2 linked regions of the Caenorhabditis elegans genome follow. The protein of the gene in region 2 purifies or fractionates together with the protein of the main gene of each other region. This does not show direct contact. Each region holds a gene or a part of one and is shown on either strand. Other genes may lie near its edges.

What was found.
Region 1: the proteins of R05A10.8 (region 2) and F33H2.2 fractionate together in Caenorhabditis elegans (co-fractionation; one large-scale study listed by BioGRID). This does not show direct contact.

The regions. Positions count from the first base shown.
Region 1 is NC_003279.8:15,020,986-15,028,288, reverse strand, and holds F33H2.2 (Protein FAM91A1), read right to left. Parts: upstream 5,122-7,303; 5' UTR 5,070-5,121; coding exon 4,919-5,069; intron 4,873-4,918; coding exon 4,721-4,872; intron 4,675-4,720; coding exon 4,422-4,674; intron 4,372-4,421; coding exon 4,118-4,371; intron 4,067-4,117; coding exon 3,894-4,066; intron 3,848-3,893; coding exon 3,691-3,847; intron 3,602-3,690; coding exon 3,216-3,601; intron 2,401-3,215; coding exon 1,675-2,400; intron 806-1,674; coding exon 607-805; 3' UTR 528-606; downstream 1-527. Other genes in the region: set-10 (MYND-type domain-containing protein), read left to right, coding at 1-69, 331-517; dog-1 (Helicase ATP-binding domain-containing protein), read left to right, coding at 5,309-5,888, 5,936-6,062, 6,225-6,317, 6,363-6,465, 6,512-6,589, 6,736-7,030, 7,203-7,303.
Region 2 is NC_003282.8:14,154,370-14,160,103, forward strand, and holds R05A10.8 (Methyltransferase FkbM domain-containing protein), read right to left. Parts: upstream 3,818-5,734; 5' UTR 3,680-3,817; coding exon 3,574-3,679; intron 3,441-3,573; coding exon 3,185-3,440; intron 3,144-3,184; coding exon 3,050-3,143; intron 2,439-3,049; exon of another isoform or gene 2,417-2,438; intron 2,246-2,416; coding exon 2,045-2,245; intron 1,988-2,044; coding exon 1,926-1,987; intron 1,025-1,925; coding exon 901-1,024; 3' UTR 757-900; downstream 1-756.

The sequences.
Region 1 (7,303 bases), on a different chromosome or scaffold from region 2:
CAGTTCACTGGAAAATGTGAATGACTTGGATTTGGACTTGATCGCTGGAAGAGGCAGTGAGCATTTTATGTAAGTTTATCTTAATATCCTAGCTCAGTTGATGTAGAAAAAGTATACGTAAATAACATTTAAGACGAATCTGATTCTAGTTTTCTGAAGAATTTTTTTTTCTAAAATCATGAAAATACGAACATTTTCCACAAAATTGAAACATTTTATTTCTGGAAAAAACCGAAATATTGAAAGATCTAATTTTTGAGTTTCTAGAAAATTTATAATTTCCGGAAACGGGAATAGATGAATTTAAAGCATTACTTAATATATTTTCAGAACTCGTCTTGGGATCGGCGCTCCAGAAGTGACCCGTCGTTTGTATATTGGATGTAAATGTATATCTCGTATTTCACCATCGAAAAGATCTGTAAAATTAGTAAAACTAATCAAACTTGCCATCGAATCAAGCATTATTAGCCATGGAACACATCATTCAATCACTAATTATTTGAGAAATCTTTGATAATGTTCTTGTAAAATCACATTTATTTTTAATCCTCTGATAAATAGTTTAATTTAATTAACATAAGCATACAATATATATATCACAATTCAAATAGTTCCATAAGAAATCAGCTGACTAGAATCAAAGAAAATGGCTCGAACGGGCGGCACGATTTGTGCGTTCCGCTGTTGATCGGTTCCTTCGACAAACAATTGTGATCCTTTGATGAGCCCGTTGTTCGCTGTGTCAATTAACTCGTTTATCATTCCAACCACTTGTTTGTTCGAGTTTTGGATGTTCGAGCGGCTGGAAATAAAACTAATTTACGAAAAAAATTAGGGCACGCACATTTTATTTTAAGTTCTCTAAAATATCTTGCCACGTGGACGGCTATAAAAAGTTTTGCACATGAACTTCCAGGTTCTTTAAGTGGTTTTTTGTATTACGAATATCGTATATTCTTTATCAGTGCTGCATACAGTGGAATTTATTGGATGCAGATGCCGCACTAATAGAAAATATACGGTAAATTCCCAATGCTCTGGTAAAACAAGTCCGTTTTGTTGCCGGAGAAAGTGTCACGTAATCGAAAATAGTTATTTTGTTGTTGAATATAGTGTATTAGTGACACTTGAACTATTTATTCAATTTATACCAGATTTCGTGGATAAATTTTTTTTTCGTAATCTGCTGCGCTTCTTAGTTTTTTTGCGAATAAAGTGAATAAATAGTTCAAGTAATCACTAATTTTTAAAAAAGTGTTGCTAATCTGACAAAAAGTGTTGGTAAATTGGCAAAAGTTTTGGTAAATTGGAAAAAGTTTTGGTAAATTGGAAAAAGTTTTGGTGAATATACAAAAAATTTTGGTAACCTGCCAAAGTGTTGGTAACCTGCCAGAAAGTGTTGGTAAATTGCCAAAAAGTTTTTATACTTACTTACTTAATTGGTTTTTACATGAACAATTTTCTTTTTCTTTTTTCTTGTGAAACACAATTTTTTACGCAATTAATTTGCCACGTTAAACTTTCGAAACTTCTAAAAAATTATTTTTGATATTTTAAGATTATGAAAAGTATTCTTGGCAAAGATAATACTCTTTTCAAAATTCAAAATAATTTTTTCGAATAATTTTTTGTTTTCGTACATTTTCATAGAGGCTGTTGAAAAAAACGAACTTCTGTTGTTCCAAAATGCCGCGCCCCAAAATCCTTTTGCAAATCGTCTCGTTAAGCACCGAATTGAACAACGGTACTCCAAAAACACAATCCAATAGTAGAAAATCGTCGAAAGAAGTGCCTGGCAGCAGTTTTTTGAGTAAACCACCATCTTTTGGTAATGAGACATCCTGCATAATATTGCTCTCCGCTTTTGTTCTTCCACTGATGTCTGAGCCTGATGTCGTGATAGATTTTCCAGATTTTTTAAGTAAAATTACATATCCTGCTGTAAAATCTAGTGATAGCTGCTCTCGGAGCTTTCTGATCGCTGGATGATTGCAGAATGCAGTTTCACACTCCAAATCTTCGAATGGAAATGGTACATGGATCATTTTATCACAATCTTCACTGTCAAGAGGTACTGATTGAACAAAAATCGATGAATAAACCAACATATCATTCAATGCAAAAAGTGCATTTTGAGCTGTCATAATATGTGGTTCATGCTTGGTACTTGATACGAGGAACCGATGATGTTGGAAGCTTTGTAGTACACGTGGAAGAGTTGTTAGACGAGTTCCGTGTGGAAGAAATACACTTGGAGGGCCACTAGAACACGCCGAATAGATTGAGAGACGGAACCACGGGGAGCAGGTTTCAGCGTTTGGTGGACCGATTAGAGGAACCGATTGAACGGGAATTGCACACGCTTCGATTGAAAGTGGAGCCATTGCAACTAGGATTCTGGAAAAGAAAACAATTTCGACGTTTTTTTATGTCGGGGGATTTTTGATCACGATTGATTTTATCAAAATTGGCAAAAAAAACGGAAAATCTGCAACTTTTTATTTGTTCATAAAAGACATTGTTTCTGAACTGTTCATTATAGAATGAAGAAAATGCAAGAGGGTATCTTGCATTTTCATCTAACCGTTTAATGAAAATAATTCGAATTTTAAATAATATAACGTTTTTTTAACCGTCAGCTTCTTTTTTCGGTTCGAGGATTTTGATTTATTTATTTATTTTCATCAATCTCTTAAATTTAAAGACAAAAAGTTTTGGCAACCTGCCAAAAAGTTTTGGAAAATTGCCATAAAATTTTGGATAATTGCCGAAAAGTTTTGAAAAATTGCCAAAAAGTTTTGGAAAATTGCCAAAAAGTTTGAAAATCTACCAAAACGTTTTGGAAAATTGCCAAAAAGTTCTGGAAAATTGCCGAAAAGTTTCGGAAAATAGCCAAAAAGTTTTGAAAATCTGCCAAAAAGGTTTGGAAAATTGCAGAAAAATTTTTGAAAATTTCCGAAAAGTTTTGAAACTCTGCCAACAAAATTTGGAAACCTGCCAAAAAGTTTTTGTAAAATGCAAATTGAACTTTAAAAAAATTAAAAGCGTATGACGAATTTTGAAATTAAATACAGATAATTGCGAATTAGATTTTTTTTTGAAATTGTAATTACCAATGGTTTTTAAGAAAACTCAATTTCACCCAAGAATCGAGGGCTGAGGTTGTGTGTGAAATTTTTCGGTTACACTTTTTTCTCTCTATAATAACTCACCCATAACTTTTCTGCAAAACCCTCTGTCTGCTTTTTTCATCAAGTGTATACAAACTTTCTCCTCTAATCAGATCAGCTTCACGTTCTTGTCTTAAACTCTTCAATGAATCCAGTAGAGCAGTTGCATGCATTGAGTATCGCTGTGCATCTCCTTCCGCAAACTGATTTACAGACTCTAGTTGCTCCAAAAATTCCTTCATTTGCTCGTCAGCAAGTTTTCCCACTTCGAAAAGTGCTACTGCATGGCCTTTCAGCGAAGCCGACAGATTTCCCATCATCAGAAATGCGGTAAGTGTTGAATCGAAGATGAATGCAGCTCTATTAACAGTTCCAGAAGATCCAGATAGGTCGGAAGCCGTTTGGGATGTTGAAAGGGATTGGAATGACTGAAAATCAAAGTTTCAGATTAATACTTTTCTACAGAAATGGTTAGATTTTGAGATTTTCTCATTGTATTAACCGGTCTATTACTAACTTCCACAGAATTATTTAATGAAGGATTTGGCGAAGAAGCTCGAAGAGCTGAATCCTCCGATACCGGCGACAACGCGTCGTCTGTCTCATCGTCATCGCCACGTAGCAGTGTTTTAGTCAACTCGTTGAGCTCGTCCGATGTGCTAGTGATCAAACTTCTGTAACTTAGGATTTAAGAATTTTTCAAACATTTCTCCCACTCACGACATAGGAGAAATCGGTGACATTGGTGTAGTTACAGTGGAATTTGACGTCCAGGAGGTGTGGATTGTCAGGTTCTCTCCGCCGGTAACACGTTTTCTGGCGAATCCTAGCCTGCAGAACACGGAAATCGCGTTTTTAACGAGCTGAAGATCGATGTGTAGGATTTGCGACATCTAAAATGTGGAAAACTTTGTGTTTAATATGAGAAAATTAGTCTATTAAACCTCCAAAACAGTTGTTTGATCGTCAATTGCTACGAAAATTTTATAGAGGAGAGTCTCGAAATAGTCTCCTAGCACCCGATTCATCACAAATCCATCTAGAGGTGCCACATAGATATAATCGTTATCGTAAACAGGAACATCGAAATATATCAGTCCTCGATCATACAATGACGTCACAACAGAATATTTTAGAAGCCCCGCCGGAATTGCCACGTTGGTGTCGAGGAGGCGATCTATCACTTGTTTCTCTTCTTCTAAATAATTTAAATTTTGTTTTAAAAAGATTTACTAAAACAAATCGCACCATTCAGTGTTTTCACGTCACTTTCTAGAATCGAACCGACATTCGTTCTCCACCACGACTCGACAATCATCTTTGTTGGTTTTTGTGGCAAAAGCTCCCTCGCCGACTTGCTACGACGTAGAAATTTCCGATTTGAACGAGTTTGGTTCATTAGCTCAATGTATTGATTTCTTCCTATCCCAAGTAATCGCACTGCGTCGGCGGCTGTGAAGTTTGGAAGAGAATCGTACGACTTTTCGGTGTTTAGCATCTCCTGAAAATTAAATCCTGCTGAAAAATCAACTATTTTTCAGACATACGGTAAGAATATTCGCATAATAACTGAATGGGGAGAGCCGCATCTCGGTGACGGTGATGTCTGATAAGTGATAAGGGTACAGCATCAAGTGTGACTCGGAAAATCGTAGAAGCTGCTCATAGTACGCTTCCTCGCTCTTTTTCATGTGCCGTACTGCAATGAAATGTTCGAAATCAAGATTCAAAGTTGAAAAACTTACTCAAATTCCCCTTATATCGAAGCTGATTTTGAATCGAGTACTCCAAAACTCTCTTTTCGTATTCTTTCGACGAATTTCCCAGTATAACCTTGATATCTGGAGATAGATTCGCCCAGGGAATATTATCGCGAATACAGTCGTCGATTTCCATGCCTCTTCAGAGATTTCGAGTGGAAAATATTTTAAAATTCTACTGAATTTGAGCAAAAAAGATATGCGTGGCGGAGCTCTGCAGATCTGCAAATAAGGTAATGTGTGCAAACACCGTGACGACACATTGCGTACGCGGTGAAAATTTGTTTTTTGGTTCCAAATAAAATAATTTGAATTTAATGTTTTTCAAAGTTTTCGTTATTGCGATTTATAGAAAAATACCATTTGCAGGTAATTATGTCCTCAAGCGATGCATTTTGGAGAATGTTCGCAAACAAAAACAAAGGAAAATCGAATACCCGATCGGCATTTCAAGTTGTGAAAGAGGAGCAGCCGTCCACATCAACAGAACCCGATGATAAAAAGCCGTTACACCATGAAATTGCCGGGGAGATGATTAAAAATCCGGCAAAAGGAAAACGAAAGCGGGTTCAGATCAAAAACGACGAGTATGAGCAGCTCATGATGCTCGGTGTACCGGTACGCGTGCCACGTGGATTGAGCCTCTACTCGACTCAAAAACTAATGATCGTGAGAATTCTGACGGCGCTGAAAAATAGTCAAAATGTGCTTGGCGAGTCGCCGACGGGAAGTGGCAAAACTATGGCTCTGCTGGCATCTACGTGTGCATGGCTCAAGCAGTATATCGATGAGAAGCGAGAATCAAAGGAAAAATGTGAAATCCATGGATTTTCAGGAAAAACACAGGTGGTGTTCACTAACGATATTGGAATACCGCTAGAATCTAAAGTATATGAAGAGCCACCGGAAGAAGAGGAATTCATTGAGCCTGTGCCAGTGAAAAACGATAAACTTTGTAGGATTTTATTTTCAGTGGAGTTTATCATAAATGTTTTTATTTAGTCGAGGCACAATGGGAGCACGATTTCACGCCTCATACACCAGGAGAAACACCGCCCGTCACATTGAAAGAAGAGCTGGAGCCGGTAAAAAAACCGGAGCCCGTTGAGACGAAATGCACGTGTCTTCCGTAAGATTTGATATATATATATATATAATTTGCTTTTTTGCAAAAAATAGCGAAAAAAAAAAATAAATAGATCTTCCAATACAGATACAGCTTCCAAAATATTTGGTTCGTTGCGAGACCAGGAAACATAACAAACAATATTCTGTAATTCTAATTTTTCAGTCGCGTCCGAATCTACTACGGCACCCGAACCCACAAGCAAATTGCTCAAGTCGTTAAAGAGTTCTCCCGTCTTCCATACGCAAAAATTCTGAAGTAAATTCAAATTTCCTAGTGTAAATCTTCTCATTTTGTATTCAGACACACAATTCTCGCAAGCAGAGAACAATCTTGCATCAATCCGGCCGCTCGTAAACACGCAGACATCTCACAATACTGTAAAGAAGTGAACAGTGCACATTCGGTATGAATTCGATTTTTTTTTAATTATTAAAACAAAAAAATTTCAGATTGGTTGTTCATTCAAAAGTGCTATGAAACCACGATTTGAGAAAGCTTTACCGTTAAGGGATCATTTAGAGCGAAATGTTCGTTTTTTTTTCATTTATTAAAAAAACTGAATTTGGAAACTAAAGATTACATCAAAAATTTTATTCTAAATTTTAAAAAAAACCTAACCATATTGAAAATTATAAAAGTAGCTTCAGGAAACGGGCAATATCAATTTTTGCAGGGAACAGTGGTATTCGATATGGAAAAAATTGTCGAAACGTTGGCCATATCATATCCTCAGCTGTGTCCCTACTTCAGCACAAACCGAATTCTCACCCAAGACGCTGACATCATTTTCTGTCCATTTTCGTATCTGGTGGACCCATTGATTCGAAATTCGTCAGATGTTCAGATAAGAAACTCGATTGTCATTTTGGATGAAGCTCATAACATCGAAGACACGTGCAGAGAAGCGGCAAGCTTCTCGTTCACCGAGAAAGAGCTCGATGATTCGATATTGTCGCTGAGAATTAAAAGTTTGTGAGATTTAACTGGAAAAAAAGAGAATGTAACATAATAGCTATAATGAATTAACAAATTTTGTCTCGTCGGAGTTTCTTCGATAGTTTAGAATTTTGAGTGAAACATACAAAAAAACAAACTAAACTGCCGAAATGTGAGGAAATTTTCCTAAAATTCAAATTACAGGAAAAGCAGTTGACACGGAATTGGATAAAACCGGCATCGAAGAGAAGCTTCTCCACATTCCAGATCGAGAAGTGCATCTAAAAGAATTCCGTGGACATCTT
Region 2 (5,734 bases):
CTTCTATCATTTTATCACATGGCACTTTTCACAGTAACTATGTTGTTTTACATGAAGGTGGCAAAATTAAAATTGAAACTAGCGCATTAAAAAAAACTAGTTACAGATTTGCTGAGTTACTTTCCTTCGAATTCCATAAAAATGCTGCAACGCCAGAAACAAGTTGGATCTGGAAATGTATTCATTCCTAGAACAAGTTACTCCATGAAAGTTTTGAAATGGTAACAATTATAAAAATGTCTCATTGTGAAAACCGAGCTTCATTGCTCACTTAAAATTACAGGTGGGTGCTTTGTGGTTTAACTGAAGAATGCATGAATCCTCCTGGAGCTCGACAAGAGTGCGTGTTTGGACCAGACGCTGATAAAGACTATGCTGAATGCTTCAGGTCAGTATGGATTTTTTGAACATCTTTCAAATACTCCAACAGACAATGTTCAGATATGACCAATCAATATTGAATCTTCTTCTGCTTAACGATTTTCAGACAACTGAACATTTCTTTTCGCAAAATTTGAAAAATTCTTCCATTCGATTACACTAGAAACGTTATCATTGATTGTTTTTGAATAACATGTTTGATATACTATAAAGATTAATAACATTATTTAATTAAATTAATAATGTTTTCAAAAGACGGTTTGGTGCCAAGTCCAGCCTCAAATCTCAAACTGTCCATAAAACTTGTTTCATACTTTCTGAAAAGAAATAGTAAAAAATTTGTTGCGTTTTACAGATTTTTTTTAAATTCTTAATATTGATATTTATTCATCAGGCAAAAAATTATAAAGATATTACATTTATAACATTATACATATGTCACATAAAATAAAGTGTTCAATAAATAAGTGAAACAAGAAAAACCCAGTAAGAGTTGTTCTCGAATGAATTGGTATTTTATCACAGAATTCGTCCCAGTAAAACTGCTCCATAGTGTATCATACAATTTTCGTTAATCAAGCTATATTCGTGACAAGTTGAGCAAAACGGGTTTGATTCAGTATTGAATATTCGAAATCCGTACCTGTAATTAGTGGTTTAAAAATCTGAAGTTAAAGTGAAGATATTAATAATATAGAGTCGAACTGATCAGTTCAACTTTTTAAGTCAAATTTTTCTGTAAATAATTTTAAGAAATTTATATACAGGGTGCGGCACAATTATGGTAACACGACCTGTTGTTAGAAATTCTTGTATATCTCGAATATCGTTTGTTCAAAAAATATTTGGGTAGTTTTTCTGAACACTAAAGTTGTTTCTCTATTTTATAAACTAAAATGAATGTCAATATACTGAATCATGAAGTTCTGGCAGGCCTTCAAACAACTGAATCAACTTTATCAAAACATCATTTTGGCGCCTCACACTTTTTGAGTTTCATTTGAATATACCGGCGTTCTTTAAGTATGTTGATCGCTAAAATTGTATTTTTCTAAAAGATTGAACATTTCTCTATCATTATTAACAACGCAAAAATGCATGTCCCATTGCGGATCAAACCGATCACAAAATCGCATTTTTGACAACCAACTTTATTCCTCTGACTTTACGAGCTTTATCACTAGGTATCCTACACCTATTTTAATTTTTTGGGAAAATTTATATTTGTCAGCAATTTCAAGCTTCGGTGGTTTCAAAAACTATACTTTACAGTTACAGTCACACCAAATATTTATGAAACAGCCAAATTAATGTTTTCTCGCCACTACTTGCGCACCAACGTCGGCCGTCTTCCCAGATTCGGGGAGGTCTGTGAAAGCGCAGAGAAAAATACATTTAAAGTTTAAACTGTTATCGTATTCAAAGATATCTGAAAATGCAAATTATCAAGGTAGACGTGTCTACCATTTTTATCGCGACCGTTACGCTTCTGGTTTTGTGTTACCATAACTGTAGTCCAAAGAAAACATCGAGAAAAATCAAACCTTGCCATGATCTGAAGCATATCCAAGTGTTTCAGGGGTGTGCCATGAACCTCTATGAAGATCTTTGAAAAAAAACTTATTGGTTATTAATACATAGTCTACTAAAGTAAATTTGTTACCTGGCACACAAAAAAATCTTTAATTAGTGGTTCCAAACCCGTAAGCTCGCCTTCTTCGATATCAATTTTTAGGAGTTCCACTTCATGCTTTCCTGCCTTTTCAAGCATATACGGAATTGTTAGCTCATCTGGAATCTTTCCAGTAAACAATTTCCCGTTTATTTTCCGATATGATTCTTGAGTTTGTTGGTTTTGAGGGTCCTGAAAAAATTTGGTGATAATGTAAAATTGGTGAGACAAAAATGTGTCCCTTTTATTAGAATTCAAAAAGTTCCAAAACTTTTAAATTTTGAAAATAATTTTTGATTTTTCAACAACTTCAGGACGTCGTAACTTAGCTCAACCGTCTCCGAAAATGTCCAATTTTTTGAGGGCTGTCATGTTTTGGGTTGAACTTCGCGTAAATATCGCGTAAATAATTGATGAAATACTGGAAAAGTATATATTTTTCCTTGTTCAAACAGTACCCAGTGCAGTTTTCTACAAAACATAGGTCACTTTTCAAAGTTCTTGGATATTCGAAATTTAGTCTTGCCGCTTCTAATAGTCTTGCAGTCTCTATTAGCATGCAAGACAGGGGTGTGCGGCAAATCTCAAAATTTGTCGAGCTCGGCAAATCCTGGCAAATCTAGTTTTCCAATATTTTCCGAGCACGGCAATTTCGGCAAATTTGCCGAGCTCGACAATTTTGGTAAATGGAGCACCAAAACTACTGAATTCTTAACACTCATCTGGTTTCTGAATAAGTTCCGTGTAGTGTCTGTTTAAACATCAAAATAATTTATTTCTTACTAAATGATTGGCGAAAAAATCAACAGTTTTGGGCAAAATTATACTGTCAAATTTTTGACGTGTGCGGCAAATTTCGAAATTTGCCGAGTTCGGCAAACAGCAAATTCGGCAAATTTGCCGCACACCACTGATGCAAGACTAATAGAGGAAATACAGTAAATCTGATATATTCAAAAAACATCATTTAGTGAACCGTTAGCATCTTAATATTACCTTGTCGGCTCCCAGTATCAAACAACGGCCATCAGTGACATTCTGAATATGCAGGTCAAAATTTATTTGATTTTTCAGACCAAGTGACACAATTCTGAAAGTACAAGTTTGAATGAAATCCACGAAGTAACTTACGTGCAATTCTTCTTGCCAGCCTTTTTGGGGTTGCAAACGTATTTTCCTCCATCTTTAAATCCTCCAATTTTTTCCTTCGTCAGGCACAGTGCCTCTATTTTTACTTTTTCGTAGAATTCCCCATTATCATTATTTTTTGAAGCTTTGTACAGTTCTCTTCTGTACTGTCCTTCGTCTCTTCGGTACTTGAAACGGAGTTCGTGGATTGCGTTGGCATTATAAATATTGAAAACTTCAGCCCCGCATTCATTTTGACCTGAAAGCAAACTGACTTGCAAAACCCTAAGTTTCTAAAAAATATTTCTTGAACTTTTTCGAAACATTTTCAAGACTTATCAACAAAAAAGAATTCCGCATTTTGGTGTTTTTTTTTTTGAAATGAAACTCACTATTCTTGGCAATTATGAAAAATGTGACAACGTTCAGGGAAAGTAAGATGAAAAGGAATTTTACGACCAGAAACTGGTGGATGTTGCAAGGCTCTGGGCTGCCCATCTGGACAATTCGATATTTTCTTAAATTAATCTCCGAGCGTTCAAAAAAGAATTAAATTACTGTTTGAAATAATGTCAGAGTCATACGACTTTTGGCAAAACCGTGCAAATTTTCTATAAGAGACATTTTTGTTGGACTCATCAAATTGACAGAAGAGTACATGTTTTAACGAAGTGCTTATAAATGAATTTCTTTGTGAATGTCCCCGCCCATGTTTTTTGTCATATCGGTAAACTTTTTTTTAGTAAACTTGACCTATTTCAATATACCTAAAATAAAATATTACTATTAATTGGATGTGTTCAAGATTTAAATGTCAGATAACTGAATATTTTCCAAGGTCAAAACTGAAGGATACGCTTGTTTCTCGTGATCGCTTGTTGATCGCACGCTTGTTTCTTGTGAAAAAATTAAATTAATGTTTGAAATAATGTCAGAGTCATACGGCTTCTGGCAAAACCGTGCAAATTTTCTATATAGAGACATTTTTGTTGGACTCATCAAATTGAGAGAAGAGTACATGAGATTTTATAGATCTTTTTTTTTCGCAAGATACAAGAAACAAGAAATCTTGCATAAAATATTGCAAGAAAAAGCACAAGAAATGTAAGAACATTCAAGAAATTTCAATAAATGGCAAGCCGTTTAATTTTTATCAAATGTTGTGATATAGTTTAAAGTAGGCGAGTAGACAATTCATTAAACCTACTAATCCACTCCTGGAACAAAATATCAAGAGAAGTGCAAGAAATATTTTAAATCTTCAGGTTTTTTCGACAAAAATTAGTAAAGTGTATGGAATTTTATAAAAATATGGAAATTTTGTATTGGATTTTGGACAAATAATGTTTAGGCAGCTGAAAAATGTTTATTATTGTTAAAAGATTGGACATGAAAAACTGATAAATCTTAAATATTTTGAAATTGCAATATTTTCATAATTTTCGATGAAATTTTGTTCCAGGAGTGGATTAGTAGGTTTAATGAATTGTCTACTCGCCTACTTTAAACTATATCACAACATTTGATAAAAATTAAACGGCTTGCCATTTATTGAAATTTCTTGAATGTTCTTACATTTCTTGTGCTTTTTCTTGCAATATTTTATGCAATACTAATAGGGAGTGCAAGGCTATTAGGGAGTGCAATACTAATTTTCTGAACATTTTTTCTGACTTTGAGCTTACTGGGTTTTTTCGAAAAAAGCTCGAATCTTATGTGAAAATTTAGAAAATTTGATTTTAGTTGTAGCATATAAGTTCAAAAACTTCAATCTCGTAAAAATTTTGTGAAAAACTGTTGCAAAATAGGCAAAAAATGCTGTTGAAATCCTGAAATCAGCGATACGGGTTCGCAATAAAAAAAAGTAAGCGCAAGATTATTAGGGAGTGCAATACTAATTTTCAGAAGGTCTCCGAGGGGCAATACTAATAGGGAGGCCATATTAATAGAAGATATACGGTATTATCCATACTTCATTTGAAAAAAAGATAATTATTGTATTTCAAAACATAGTGTTACAGGTGGATCTTGTGCAGCTCAACCGAAAATTGCATGAATGCCTCCTAGAGCTCGACAAAAGTGCGATTTTGGACCAGATATAAAGAAAGATTATGCTGACTGCTTCAGGTAGTCGTTATTAAACAAATTTTTAAACTCAAACTAATAGTAATTTTTCCTATGCTCCCAATCAGATACGCTCAATCCGTATTAAATCTTCTTCCACTCAACGATTTTCAAACTGCTAAGCATTTTTTTTCTCTCAGAGTCTCTCAGAGTCAGGCAAATTCATCCACTGAAATTTGTCTTGGAATCTCAAGTATTGCAATCGATGCATAAAATGAATACAATAAAACAGTTTCTTTTAGCTGGTTAGCCAAATGGGATTTGGGCGCATCCTCTGGTAGATTAAGTTTGGATTTCATTAAAATCTCCAACTGCATAAAACTCATTAATTCAATATAAACTAAAATAAAATAAATAAATAAATTAATTTTTTTTGAACATTTATTATTTTGATCATCACGGGTTCGACTCTGCAGCAATGATGGAAAA